Linked DNA regions of Caenorhabditis elegans. The protein of the gene in region 2 purifies or fractionates together with the protein of the main gene of each other region. This does not show direct contact. Each region holds a gene or a part of one and is shown on either strand. Other genes may lie near its edges.

Region 1 (6,008 bases), on a different chromosome or scaffold from region 2:
TGCAGATTTTCCGTGTTGGACAATGAACAGACTGAAAAGTGAACGACGGAGAACTCTGAGCGAATATTTGGGCGGTCTCAAGTAGTTACCGGAAGAGTGAAAAAGACGTTCTTTAATATATAATTATAAATGGAAATCAGCCAGAAATGAAATGATAATGACAAGGTTTTCATTTGAAACGAGAGGGAAAAGATATTCAAGAATTGGAAATTTAGAATGAGTTTCAGCCACATCTCATAACTTCACACATTCATTATGTTTGTTTGAAAAGTCACAAAGTTATAATGAAAATGAACATTTATTTATTAAGACACCAATACTGGCTAAAGAAGAAACTAAATTCTATTTCCCTTTTGCCAAAGGTATTTTTGAAAACACTGAATTTGATTCTAAGAACAGAAGTACTGTAAAGAAATGATAAAAGGTATGGCTTAGAATAAAATTGCATTATCTGAATACTGAATATGTGATGTTAAGCTTTCAGTACAGAACAACTTTTTTTATTGAAAAAAATGTAAAAATAACTTTATTGATAAAACCGTTTCCAAAACTGAGCTTATATACCAGTCAAACGGGAAAACTTTAGTTTAAAAAATACCTAGAAACTAGACAGGTGAATTGCGTTCAAAAATCATATATGATCTGCTAAATGTCAGCATAAAATGGATTCCTTGAAAAGTAATTTAGTAAAATCGTACCGGAATTCAGTGAAAAGTGATACAAGTTCGGAAGACAAAACGGGTCTCAATAATTTAGATGTGCAAAAAGCTTATTGACGTAAATTTTATGTATAATTATGGAAAGTACGTAATACTTTTTTGGTAACGCAGAATATCGAATAAATCTGCTCATGAAATTTTCTAACTTCGAAGTAAGTGCATTCTTAAAATCAAAGTTTTGATTCGATTTTTTTGGCAGAAAGGTATAACTCAAAAGTCCCGAAACAAAAAATATACATTTTGTTAACGGGCTTAAACAGACGCAGTTATTTAACTTCATAGTTCAATTCAAAAATGACGGCGGTCTCGAAAAAAAATTTGAGCCTCTCACTTTTTTGCATCATCGAAAATCTATTTCCTTTTGCGCATCGGTAGGTGTGAAATTTGAAGCGTCATTGAAAAGGTCAAGTTAAACGTTTTTTTGGCATTTCAAATAGTATAGACCTAAACGTATATATTATATTTGAATTCGTTTCATTTTTGAAGTAATATTGTAGTGAACTATAATATTGAGACATTCAGTTACGCACTATGTTTTGTCATACTTATTTCTTAGTATATGCATTTGATACAAAATACAAACTCGGAGGTTCAAAATTGTAGACTCGAGCATTGTCAGATGTGTATTTCAATAATTAACGTGTTTATAAATAATGAGCGAAATACTATGACGGCATGAAAACGTCATGTGTTTAAATAGAAAAACTAACAAAGGCGTCGAAAGTCAAAAGTTTCAAAAATATAAAGTAAAGGGAAAAATTAATTTCCTATAACTTTTGCCAAATTTTTTCTGGGACAAATGATATTGTGCAGAAATTGGCAGAACCTTTCTGACGCGTACCTATTGGTATTTATGAATGTGATTATTTTTATGTTTACGAGGTAGAAAACAATTGCAAATGCTCACGTAAAATAGCGTAGTCTTTCATTTTCCAGAATGTGCCTGGAAAAAACGCTGCTGTAAAAGAATCGTGATTTTTGAATTAAAAAGTTTTAAGCGTCTACGACATTTTCTAACCTAGACATTACAAAAGAATGATTGATCTTTTTTTGAATAATTTCCTTGCTTAAGTTTCTTATTTGTTTTTTGTGTGTATGTTCCTATATTAAGAAACCAAGTAGGGGATGAGCTCAGCTCTGCCACACGGTTAAATTTTTTAACGCATTTTTTAACGAATTTTTTTTCCAAAAAAATATATGATGCCAACATTTAAACTGTCTGTTTTTGTCGCTTTTGGAATGTTTATGAAACAACAATTGCCAATCCTAAAAAAAGTTTTGTGTGTAGCATCGAACCTATAAGACCAAATGAAATTCAATACTCTAGTGAGGTAATCTGTACCCAAAAACGAAAACTTTGTGTACTCCGATCGGACACAGTTTTCCATCGGAATGATATCACGATCACGGCATTGTTTGTGTTTTGTTCCAAAAAAGAAATATAAATTCGTTTCCATTTTTCCAGTTCATGGTAACCGAATGTTATTCTATTTGGCAATTTGTTGGTTTTTCTCAGAATATGAAATTCAACGATTTATTATCACAAATGTGAATACAAAATGTTCACTTTGGGCACTCCTTGAGTTCGGTGCATCTGTAACCGTTTCGGACAAAACCACTGGAACACTGGCAAACATTTACAATGCATTGTCTGGTACATGGTCTTGGTCCTGGTTTTTCACAAGTTGGCTCACAAGCGGTTCCGCATCGGAAGAATGTCTCATTTTCCGGACATTTGCTAGTTTCCTTGGTACAGGTGGAAATATCGACACATTTTCCAAGTGAATTACGCACAAATCCTTTCTTGCAGTCGCATGCGTTTTCAATACATTGAGCAGATAGACACACTTTCTGAAAATTAAATATTATAGGAGAACATGGAAAATTATAGATTACTGGAGTGTATCCGCATTGTGTCTCACAGTGATCATGGCATGCAACCATTTCCTCGTTGGCTCCACATGTCTCTGAAAAGTAAAATGTTTATTTTCCAGAAATATTTAACAATAATCATTTAAAAATAAACTTACTATTGGCAGCTGTCGCAGCAGCAATAAAACAGGCAATTATGACAAAAGTTCTCTAAAAACTCATTAGTTTTTGCATTGCTCTAATGAAAAAAAGAACGAACCATCACAGAAAGAAAAGTAATGCAGCAGTCTGATGTTTTCTTTTGAAATGACTCTATTTATTGTTCGAGAACACTAAATCACGCAGAGGACTCTAGTCTATCAAAACCGCCCTTTTGTTTGCCAGAGACATAGACATTGAAAAAAAACGATGACCAATAAATCCAAAAGATCAAACAGAGTTTTTTTTAGTTTTTCATGCCAGGAAAAATAATACTGATGTAACAATTGTGTTATCAATAATAGCACACAACTCCAGTTTCCTTCATCACACTTCTTTTTGAATTTTTTCCAATATTTGATGGTTTATTGAACTTGGAAATGTTTACTCAAAAACAAATTATTTTGGACAATCTTTCTTATCAATGCATCTGAGTCCATGACGAACGAAACCTTTGGAGCATTGGCAGACATTGACGATACATTGTTTAGTGCAAACTGTTGGATTTGGTTTCTCACAAGTTGCTTCACAAGCTGTTCCACAGCCAAAGAATGTCTCATTTTCTGGGCATTTTGTAGTTTCCTTGGTGCATTCAGATACTTCGACGCATTTTCCAAGAGAATTACGAACAAATCCGTCTTTACAGTCACATGTGTTCATGATACATTGCTCCGTGCAAGCTTTCTAAATTTTGAAACTTTCAGTAATGGGAGACACATTAAGTTAATTGTTACAGGGGTATATCCACATTGTGGTTCACATGTATTATGGCACGATACCAGCTCCTCATTGGCTTCACATGTTTCTAAAAAAATATTTATGATCTGGTAACCGTTCAAGTACCAAATCACATATATTTACTTACTTGTGGCGGTAGCAACAGCAACGATGCATGTGATTATGACAAGTATCCTCTGTAAGTGTATAATTTTTATATTAGAAAAAAAACTCAAAAACTCACCATTTTCACAATAACGAAGGGCAACCAACCGATGTTTTGCTTTTTAACGGCTCTATTTATTGTGCCGGAACACTAAAAAACGGCAGAACCGCCCTTTTTTTCGGAAGGGATGATACGAGAAACATGATAAGATCGAATGGGAGATATTATAGGTCTTCTCAATCTTTTGGAGAGAAATTTATCTTTCACCGGTCACGTATTTATTTTGTAAATTGGGCTCACAACAAAGGTTTAAAAATCTCGAAGAATTTGTATTCGAAAATTCAGAAAAAATCAGAAACACATTAAATCGAGAACCTTACGAAATTTCATTCCGACCAATGATTTTAATGAATCAATTCACTAGAAGATATCAATTTAAAACGTATCGCTTGGTGCAAATAGTTTTGGCTTGGCTCACTGGAGAGTATTTCGAATGTGTTTCATCCATAATTACCAACTTAACATTGTTTGGTTAACACTGACTTTTTGTATTCATTGTATTGCAACACGGAATAGTTCATAAGTTTTTTGGCTATTGAAAAGGAATACAAATATTATGTTAAAATTCGAATATTGTTATTTTTAAATTTTCTGAAAACATTAGCATGAAAACATCAATATTAAAATATGAGAAAAACAACTTTTTTTTTAATCATCGAAAATATTATTCAGTGGTATGTTGTGCAACACATACGTCCACAATTTGGCATGGTTTCTCCTCACAAGTCAGCTCCACAAGTTCACATTTTTCGTTCTCAGAGCATTCAAGAGTGCATTTGCCTGAATGAAAAATTTATGACTAGTATTATGTGCAGGTTTTCAGCGAATAATCACTGATGGTTAAATTGGTTAAAGTCTAGTAATAAATTTTGAAGCTTACTGCATTTATTTTTCTCCACACATTTTCCAGTTGCCGAGTCTCTGACGAGTCCTTTCTTACACTGGCAGACGTTTGTCATACACACCAAATCACATTCCTGAGAAACAATTTATGATCATACATAATCTCAACGTTGATTTACTGGATTCTCGTTATCACATGTCGGTTCACACGCTGAGCCACACGCCTTGAGCTCTTCATCGCCCTCACATTCCGGTTTGCGGATTGCTGGAAGTTTCCAAGAACCACTGGATATTTTTGGTTTCACTACACTTACGGATTGGCACGCACTTTGGATCAACTGAACAATCGTCTTCAGAACCACATTCCAAGTCACTGACTGGCAGTTCGCATCTGAAAAAATATTTTAAAATTTATAATTGGAAATATTAAAACCTATAATTATCAGGACATTTGATAGAACCACAGAGTGCGTCTGTGTGAGAAATGGGCATGTTTTCTGTGTTTTCTGAAAATAAGTCATTTGATTTTTAAATAAAACCTTGGTACTCACTAAGAACTCCAGATCTAGCAAAAGCAAGAAGAGCAAAGAAAATAAATAATTGAAAATTCTGAAAAAACACACTTTCATTTGTTGTAAGATATGAAGAAAAAACCACTCACCATTTTGATGAAAGAATTTCTGAAGAAACTTTCGGAGTGGGGAAGTTATGAGAAGGAAGCAATCATTGAAATAAAATTGACAGGCGTGAGACCGAGGATGAGTCAAAAGATTAATGACTTGGTGAGACCGGAGAGAGTTCAGCCGACCGGAATATTTCTTGAGTGCTGTTTTTTTAAGTTTAAAAATATGTTATTTACAAAATTACTTTCTACGAAAGTACGCCTGAGAAGAACAAAGAAGTAACTGTTTTCGGTTTTTGCTTGAATAGACTCAAAATGCGCCCTAGGCAAAATTTTGGTAATGAGAAATCTCAAAAATTATGCAATTTTTTTGAGAAGTCTTATTATGAAAGTTGCCCATTTGAGTATTTTTATTATATACAAGCAAAAACTCAAGACTGTTGGAACAGAAGATTAACTGCTGGGATGGGCTTTGAATATATTCAAAATAGCTCCAAAAGCCAGAAACTTCATAAAAATAACTCGCAAAAATACTCAAAAACTGTGTACAGCCGTTCAAAAATTTTTAACGTTGTTTCCAAATTGTGAAAAAAATAGTAAAAGAAACAAACAATAAATATTTTGTCAGCTAACAATCTTTGTTTAGAACAAACGACAATTGAGATACGCTGATCAGCTGCCAAAGTCGAACAATAGGTGTGATTCTAATAGATAAAACACGGTACTTTCCAGTTCCAATAATTCCAATACCCCTAAATCTAATTCATTTATGAGAAGTCTCCTATTGAAAATTGATAATTTTAAACACGTT
Region 2 (5,806 bases):
ATATCCCAAAGGAAGGTGTAGGTAAAGGACATTATATAGGACAGAATCCAAATGTAGAAAAAGATCGAAGTGGTGTTAGGATCCGTAGCCTCGTAGTACTTGTTCAGGGCTCCACAGGCAACTACAAAGAAGGTCGTGGAATACTTTCCAGCATTCACTAAATGTGGATGTACTCGTTTTGTATCTCTATAACGTCTGAGGCACTGCAGAAAACGGATCATTGCCGGAATTATCGACATGAGGGACCGAAGACCTGCGGCAGAAGCACATTGATCCTTTCCATTCGACAACTCGACACTTCCCCAGGGAACCGATCCAGTGGTAGAGTTGATTCCCTTCACTTCAATCCACCCATTCGAGTAGTCAACTTCTGTAGCGTAAAAGCACACAAAGTACTGAAAGTCTAGGAATGCGGTGGTCAGTGAGTTCATTTGATCTCCAAGCCAGAAATCGGTGAATGTGACGAAATGGAATGGTGATGTGAAGCACTTGTAGCAATGTTTCAGAAGCCAGAATCGAGAATTTCTGTGGAATACCGAGTCGGGTTTGGCGATTGGATTCAGAAGAAGAATCAGACAAACCACCATTAGTGCTAATGGAGGTGCGAATGGTGGAATATGGAGCATATGAGCATATAGATAGGCGAGAACTGCAAAAGACCACAGCATAATCATAAAGGATGCGATTTGCATCAGAGTTTGATATGAGAGATGATTCCTGGGATCTACTTCAAAGATCAGAACGTGATTGACTCCAGCAGCAGCCCAACCAGCCATATTCACACCACAAAGGAAGATTGATAGGAAGAGAAGTAGTGGTCCTCGGAATAAACGAACGGCTACCCATTTTGGTTCTTGAGGTCGTGCTGGGGAGGCGATCCATGTTAGAAGTATTGCAAGGAGCAGGATGATGCTCGCACCGATGAAGAGGCCCAGGGAGAAGGTGGTGAGAGGCTTCTGCTTCTCCGAGAGTGGTGGTACCTGGAAAATTCGATTTTTTCTTCATTCCGGTTTTTTTTTAAATTTTATTTTAGTTTCTAAGTAAATTTTTTATTTGAAATTCACATTTTTTAAAGAAATTTTTATTCGGAAAAAACTGAATATTTTTTTATTTTATTTTTAATTTTTGAAAGATTCGAGTGTTTTTCTCGAATTTTTCGATTTAAAAAAAATTAATTTCCTTACTATTTTAAAAATTTATTCGATTTTAGATCAAATATTGATAATTTTCTAGGTTTTCAATTTTTTTAAAAATTATTTCAACGATTTCAGTCAGGTTTTTGTATTTTCTTTTTTTTTTAAACAAAAATTGAAAATATCACAATTTTTCCCTGGAAATTTTTATTTTGATTAGAAATTTTTTTTTCAGAAAAAATTCATTTTATTGAAATTTTTTATTATTTATTTTCAAAAAAACTTAAAACTACTATTCAGCATTTTCTTAGATTTTTTTTCAAAAAATCTCCGAAAAAAAAAACTGAAAATCGCTCGAAAATTCAATTTTTCATTGGGTTTTCTAAAGTTAATTCTGTTTCGTATAAAATAATCAATTTTCCAATTTTTTCAGCGAAATTTCGAACCTTAAGCCTCTTCATTCCAGCTTGTCGATTTCCAGCCTCCAAATCATTAATTACACTGGTTTCCACATTTGTGATCAGAGTTTCAATTTCTCGATTCAAGAAAAACGACGATTTTTCCACTTTATTAATCCGCCAGTCGAGTCCTCGTTCGTTGCCAGTGAGCTTGTCGTGTTTCTTTAAAATCTTCCGAAATCCGGTAGCATTCAATTGCTGAAAGTTCTGAACCAGCACCAGAGAAAGATAAAACTCGGAGAATGCGAGTTTCAGCTGCTGCTCATTCCGTGTGGTCTCCTTATGGAATTTGTCTTTTCCTCCGAACCTTCTACGGATCCCTGTGGTATCGCTGCGAGACCCAAGAACATCCTTGAACACTTGTAGTTCGGTTTGAAGCTCGTGATGTTTTCCCTGTCCTTCAGCGATTTTTTGCGAGAAGAATAGGTTGATCTTGGTGAGCTCTTGGTCGCACTCGTTGAAAAATTTCTCGTCGAGCCGGGAAATGTGCTCTTCTCGGCGGTCATCGTCGGCGGGAACCTCCATCATATCATCGTATAATAGATTTTTGAGCCGCTCATAGTCAATGTATTGTTTCCGCCACTCGGGCGTCAAGTGGCTCGCTAGTTGCTCGCCGAACTTCATCTAAAATCGGGAAAATGGGAATAACTTACAACACGGCCATCGCCGGAGCCTAAATCAATGAGCGTTCCCTTCTTGTTGCTGTTGCTGCTCGTGGCGAGTGAAAGTGCGCGGGAGACGTTCGCGAGCTGCTCCGTCGTTGCTGGGACGTACGGAATGCAGACGCGTCGCAGAGCGGGCGCCACGAACGGAATTGCGGCCGCCGAGATGGCGAGCGCCGTTGCGCCAGCCACACCGGCAATCACCAGACCTGTGTTCATGCCCATACTGCAAAAAAACACAATCTCGAGGGGAACACTCATTGATTTAAATCATGATTTTTTATTTGTTTTAAAATTTATTATTTTTAAGTTTAAATTATCTTTATTTTTCAAAGGATTATTGTTTTTGAATATTTAAAATTAAAATTCATACCCACCTTTATTCTTCAATCGATTTTCTTCGGAATAAGATGAAGTTTCTCATCAACGATTCAAATTTTCTACCTGAAAACAGAAAAAAAATGTTTAAAACGATTTTCAGGCCTAAAACAGTGCAAAACACTGGAAATATATCGATTTACGCATAAATTGCACTCGACAGAATCAAAATTTAAATTCGTACTTTTCGCGAAAAAGAGATAGACAACGAAATTCGATAAGGGCACATGCGACTAAAAATCGGGAGCTCAGTGCACCGGAAGTGCGCAAGCAGTTGATGATTGCGCAAACGAGTGGCTACTGGCGCGTTTTCGGATGGGTCGGATTTATTTTCTGCAATTTCTGTGCGATTTTTATTAATTTTTTGCGTTTCCCACCGTATTTTCCAACCAAATTTCTGAATTTTTATATAAAATTGTCGTAATTTGCATGGTTCCGACGTTGAAAATCACCAAAACCCAGGTTAAAATTCGTTTTTTAAAAAGGGGGTTTACTTTATAAAGATATGCAATTTTGGAATTTCAGTTTTGCTAATTTTTCGTGGTTTCTTAGAGTTTTTCTATTGAAGATTGTTAAAGATCTTGTAAAGAAGATGTTAAGTCGGTAAACATTGCAAAACTTTTAATTTTCCTCAATTTTCGCTAATTTTTTGCGTTTCTTTATGATTTTTATTTTAAAATTAGGTTTTTCGGGTATCGATTTGTTAATTTTTTAGCTAAAAATATATTACATAAACAAAAGTTTCTTCAAACTTATATTTCTCTCTTATTCCGATTAAAAACTAAATTACCTTTCAACTTCCAGGTAAATATGTTGTCCAGAACACTCCGACCGATCTCCAAGGTGCTCAGAAGCAGCGCGAAGTACTCCCAGGCCGCAGGTAATCTGAAAATTAAGATTTTCCTCAAAATCATATCAAAATTTTCAGGTCTTCCATTAAACGAGGGAAGCCCGGCACCATTGCCATCAGAAGACAGAGCAATCTCCGCAAAAGTCAGCTCGTTGGTTGAAGAAATCGCGAATCTCAGCCTGCTCGACGTCTCCGATCTTAACTGGGCTCTCAAGAAGCGGCTCAACATTCCAGATCAACCATTGATGGCTGCTGCCGCTGCTGCTCCAGCCGCTCAGGGTAAACATTATTTATTATAGTTTAATAAAATTATTTATTTATTTTCATTATTTTTCAGCCGAAGCGGAAGCCGCATCAGACGTTCCACAAAAAATGACATTCACTGTGAAATTAACGAAATTCGATGATACCAAGAAGATCGCAATCATCAAGGAGATCCGTAACGCCATTCCAGGCCTCAATCTCGTTCAGGCCAAGAAGTTTGTGGAAACCGCACCGGTAAATGTTAAGGAGGATCTTGGAAAGGCAGAAGCCGATGAGTTGAAGGCTATTCTGGAGAAGGCTGGAGCTACCATTGAAATTGTTTAATTTTTTGTTCTATATTTCCCTCTTTTCATTTGTTGTGTTCTCATTTTCTTCAAATTTTTCGTAGATAGTGTAGCATTTCTTTTTGTTAAGTTTTATTTTATTTTATGGAAAAATAATTAATTTCAAAAATAATTAAATTTACACCCGGCAAGAAGAGAAATACACGTCCCATGATAGAAATACTATTGGATAGATTCTGGAGAAGCTGCTGGAGAAGATCAAAAATCGGTAGTCTCATTTGAAGAAGTGTCAAGACCTGCAATTTGGGAAAATTACCGGAAGCCTGTATGGGTACAAACCTCCGCGTCCGAATACTTTCAGCGACATTCCGAATTGAAGAACTCGCATATCCTTTTCGGATAATTGGCCGAACGAGATCGCGTGGTCGGAACATTTTCCGGCTTTTGTGGGACTTGAACGGAACAATTTCGAGTCTGGCGCAATTATTTGTTTTGGTGGAAGATCGTTGAATAGTCGGAGAGCATCTTCATCAAATGGATCAGCTATCTGGACACCGTACTTCTCGCTGCAGTCGTAGAGAGCGAAATCCGAGGCTCGCGAGAAGAAAAATCCTCTGAAAATCATGAAATCAAACATTTTTAGAATTTATTCGGGAGTTTTCCAGAAGTAATTCTCTGATTTTCGATTTTTTAGTCTTCAAAAACTTTCGGTAATTTTGCAAATTAAATTTGTTACACTGATGCAAAACTTTGCGATATTTGCCCCAGAATTACGGTACCCGGTCTTGATACGACATTTTTTTGCTAATGTTGAAAGGTCTGCGCCTTTAAAGATTAGTGAAATTTCAAACTTGTGCTGCTGTGGAGTTTTATCGCTTTTTCATTGTTTTCTGCTGATTTATTTTTTAAACATACATATTAACAATCGTGAGAAAAACTATGAAAATAAATGATTTTAATGAAAATTCCACGGAAACCAAAGTTTTCAATTACAGTACTCTTTAAAGGCGCACATATTTTCGCATATGACCAAAATTTGTCGTGTCGAGACCAGGTACCGTATTTTTAGCGCAATATTTCGCGACTCGAAAATCCAAGTAAATAGTATTTTATTAAAATTTGATACACAAGGTGTAGGGTTCCCAGAAATTTAATTATTTTTGCGCGTCAAATTCGCTGTATTGGGTACGTAGCACTAAAAAAAATCTTACTTGCAAGCAGAAAGCTTATCAATTGCTGGATTTGATAGCACAACTCCACCACGAACGGAAATCTTCTTGAAGCTGCTCAGCGGGAAGAGCCAAGAGAATAATGTGCTGGAAAATTGCTGGTTTTTTGGAAAAGCTCGGCCACTGATTTAAATATTACGGGAAAACTAAATTCTGGGAATGCATATTACGCAACACATTTGACGCGCAAAATATAAATATATCTCGCAGCGAAAACTACAGTAATTCATTAAATGACTACTGTAGCGCTTGTGTCGATTTACGGGCCCACTTACTGTAGTTTTCGCAATGAGATATATTTATATTTTGCGCGTCAAATATGTTGCGCAATACGCATTCTCAGATATTACGGGAACGCAAAATTCTAACCTAGTATCCTTCACTTTTCCAAGAACAACTGGTTTTTCAGAATCAAAATTTCTCAGAGTATTTCGAAGATTTGGAACTATCAAATAAGTCTGATCATCGCCCAAAAATGTCCATTGAGCCGGGACTTTTGACGAGAATTCCATTGCATATAAATAATATGTCCAGTAGAAATGGTTAAG

The links.
Region 1: the proteins of mrpl-12 (region 2) and C25E10.8 fractionate together in Caenorhabditis elegans (co-fractionation; one large-scale study listed by BioGRID). This does not show direct contact.

The regions. Positions count from the first base shown.
Region 1 is NC_003283.11:9,051,080-9,057,087, forward strand, and holds C25E10.8 (TIL domain-containing protein), read right to left. Parts: upstream 2,991-6,008; 5' UTR 2,854-2,990; coding exon 2,851-2,853; intron 2,802-2,850; coding exon 2,750-2,801; intron 2,687-2,749; coding exon 2,616-2,686; intron 2,571-2,615; coding exon 2,283-2,570; 3' UTR 2,183-2,282; downstream 1-2,182. Other genes in the region: Serine protease inhibitor swm-1, read right to left, coding at 3,189-3,473, 3,524-3,594, 3,655-3,703, 3,751-3,753; C25E10.10 (TIL domain-containing protein), read right to left, coding at 4,397-4,512, 4,613-4,709, 4,755-4,840, 4,890-4,966, 5,009-5,081, 5,127-5,184, 5,237-5,239.
Region 2 is NC_003281.10:10,704,326-10,710,131, forward strand, and holds mrpl-12 (Mitochondrial Ribosomal Protein, Large), read left to right. Parts: upstream 1-3,435; 5' UTR 3,436-3,441; coding exon 3,442-3,511; intron 3,512-3,559; coding exon 3,560-3,760; intron 3,761-3,818; coding exon 3,819-4,069; 3' UTR 4,070-4,196; downstream 4,197-5,806. Other genes in the region: Y39A1A.21 (ATP synthase subunit C lysine N-methyltransferase), read right to left, coding at 2,245-2,478; Y39A1A.22 (Xenotropic and polytropic retrovirus receptor 1 homolog), read right to left, coding at 1-980, 1,580-2,215; W09D10.5 (N-acetylgalactosaminide beta-1,3-galactosyltransferase), read right to left, coding at 4,288-4,325, 4,369-4,643, 5,241-5,345, 5,628-5,806.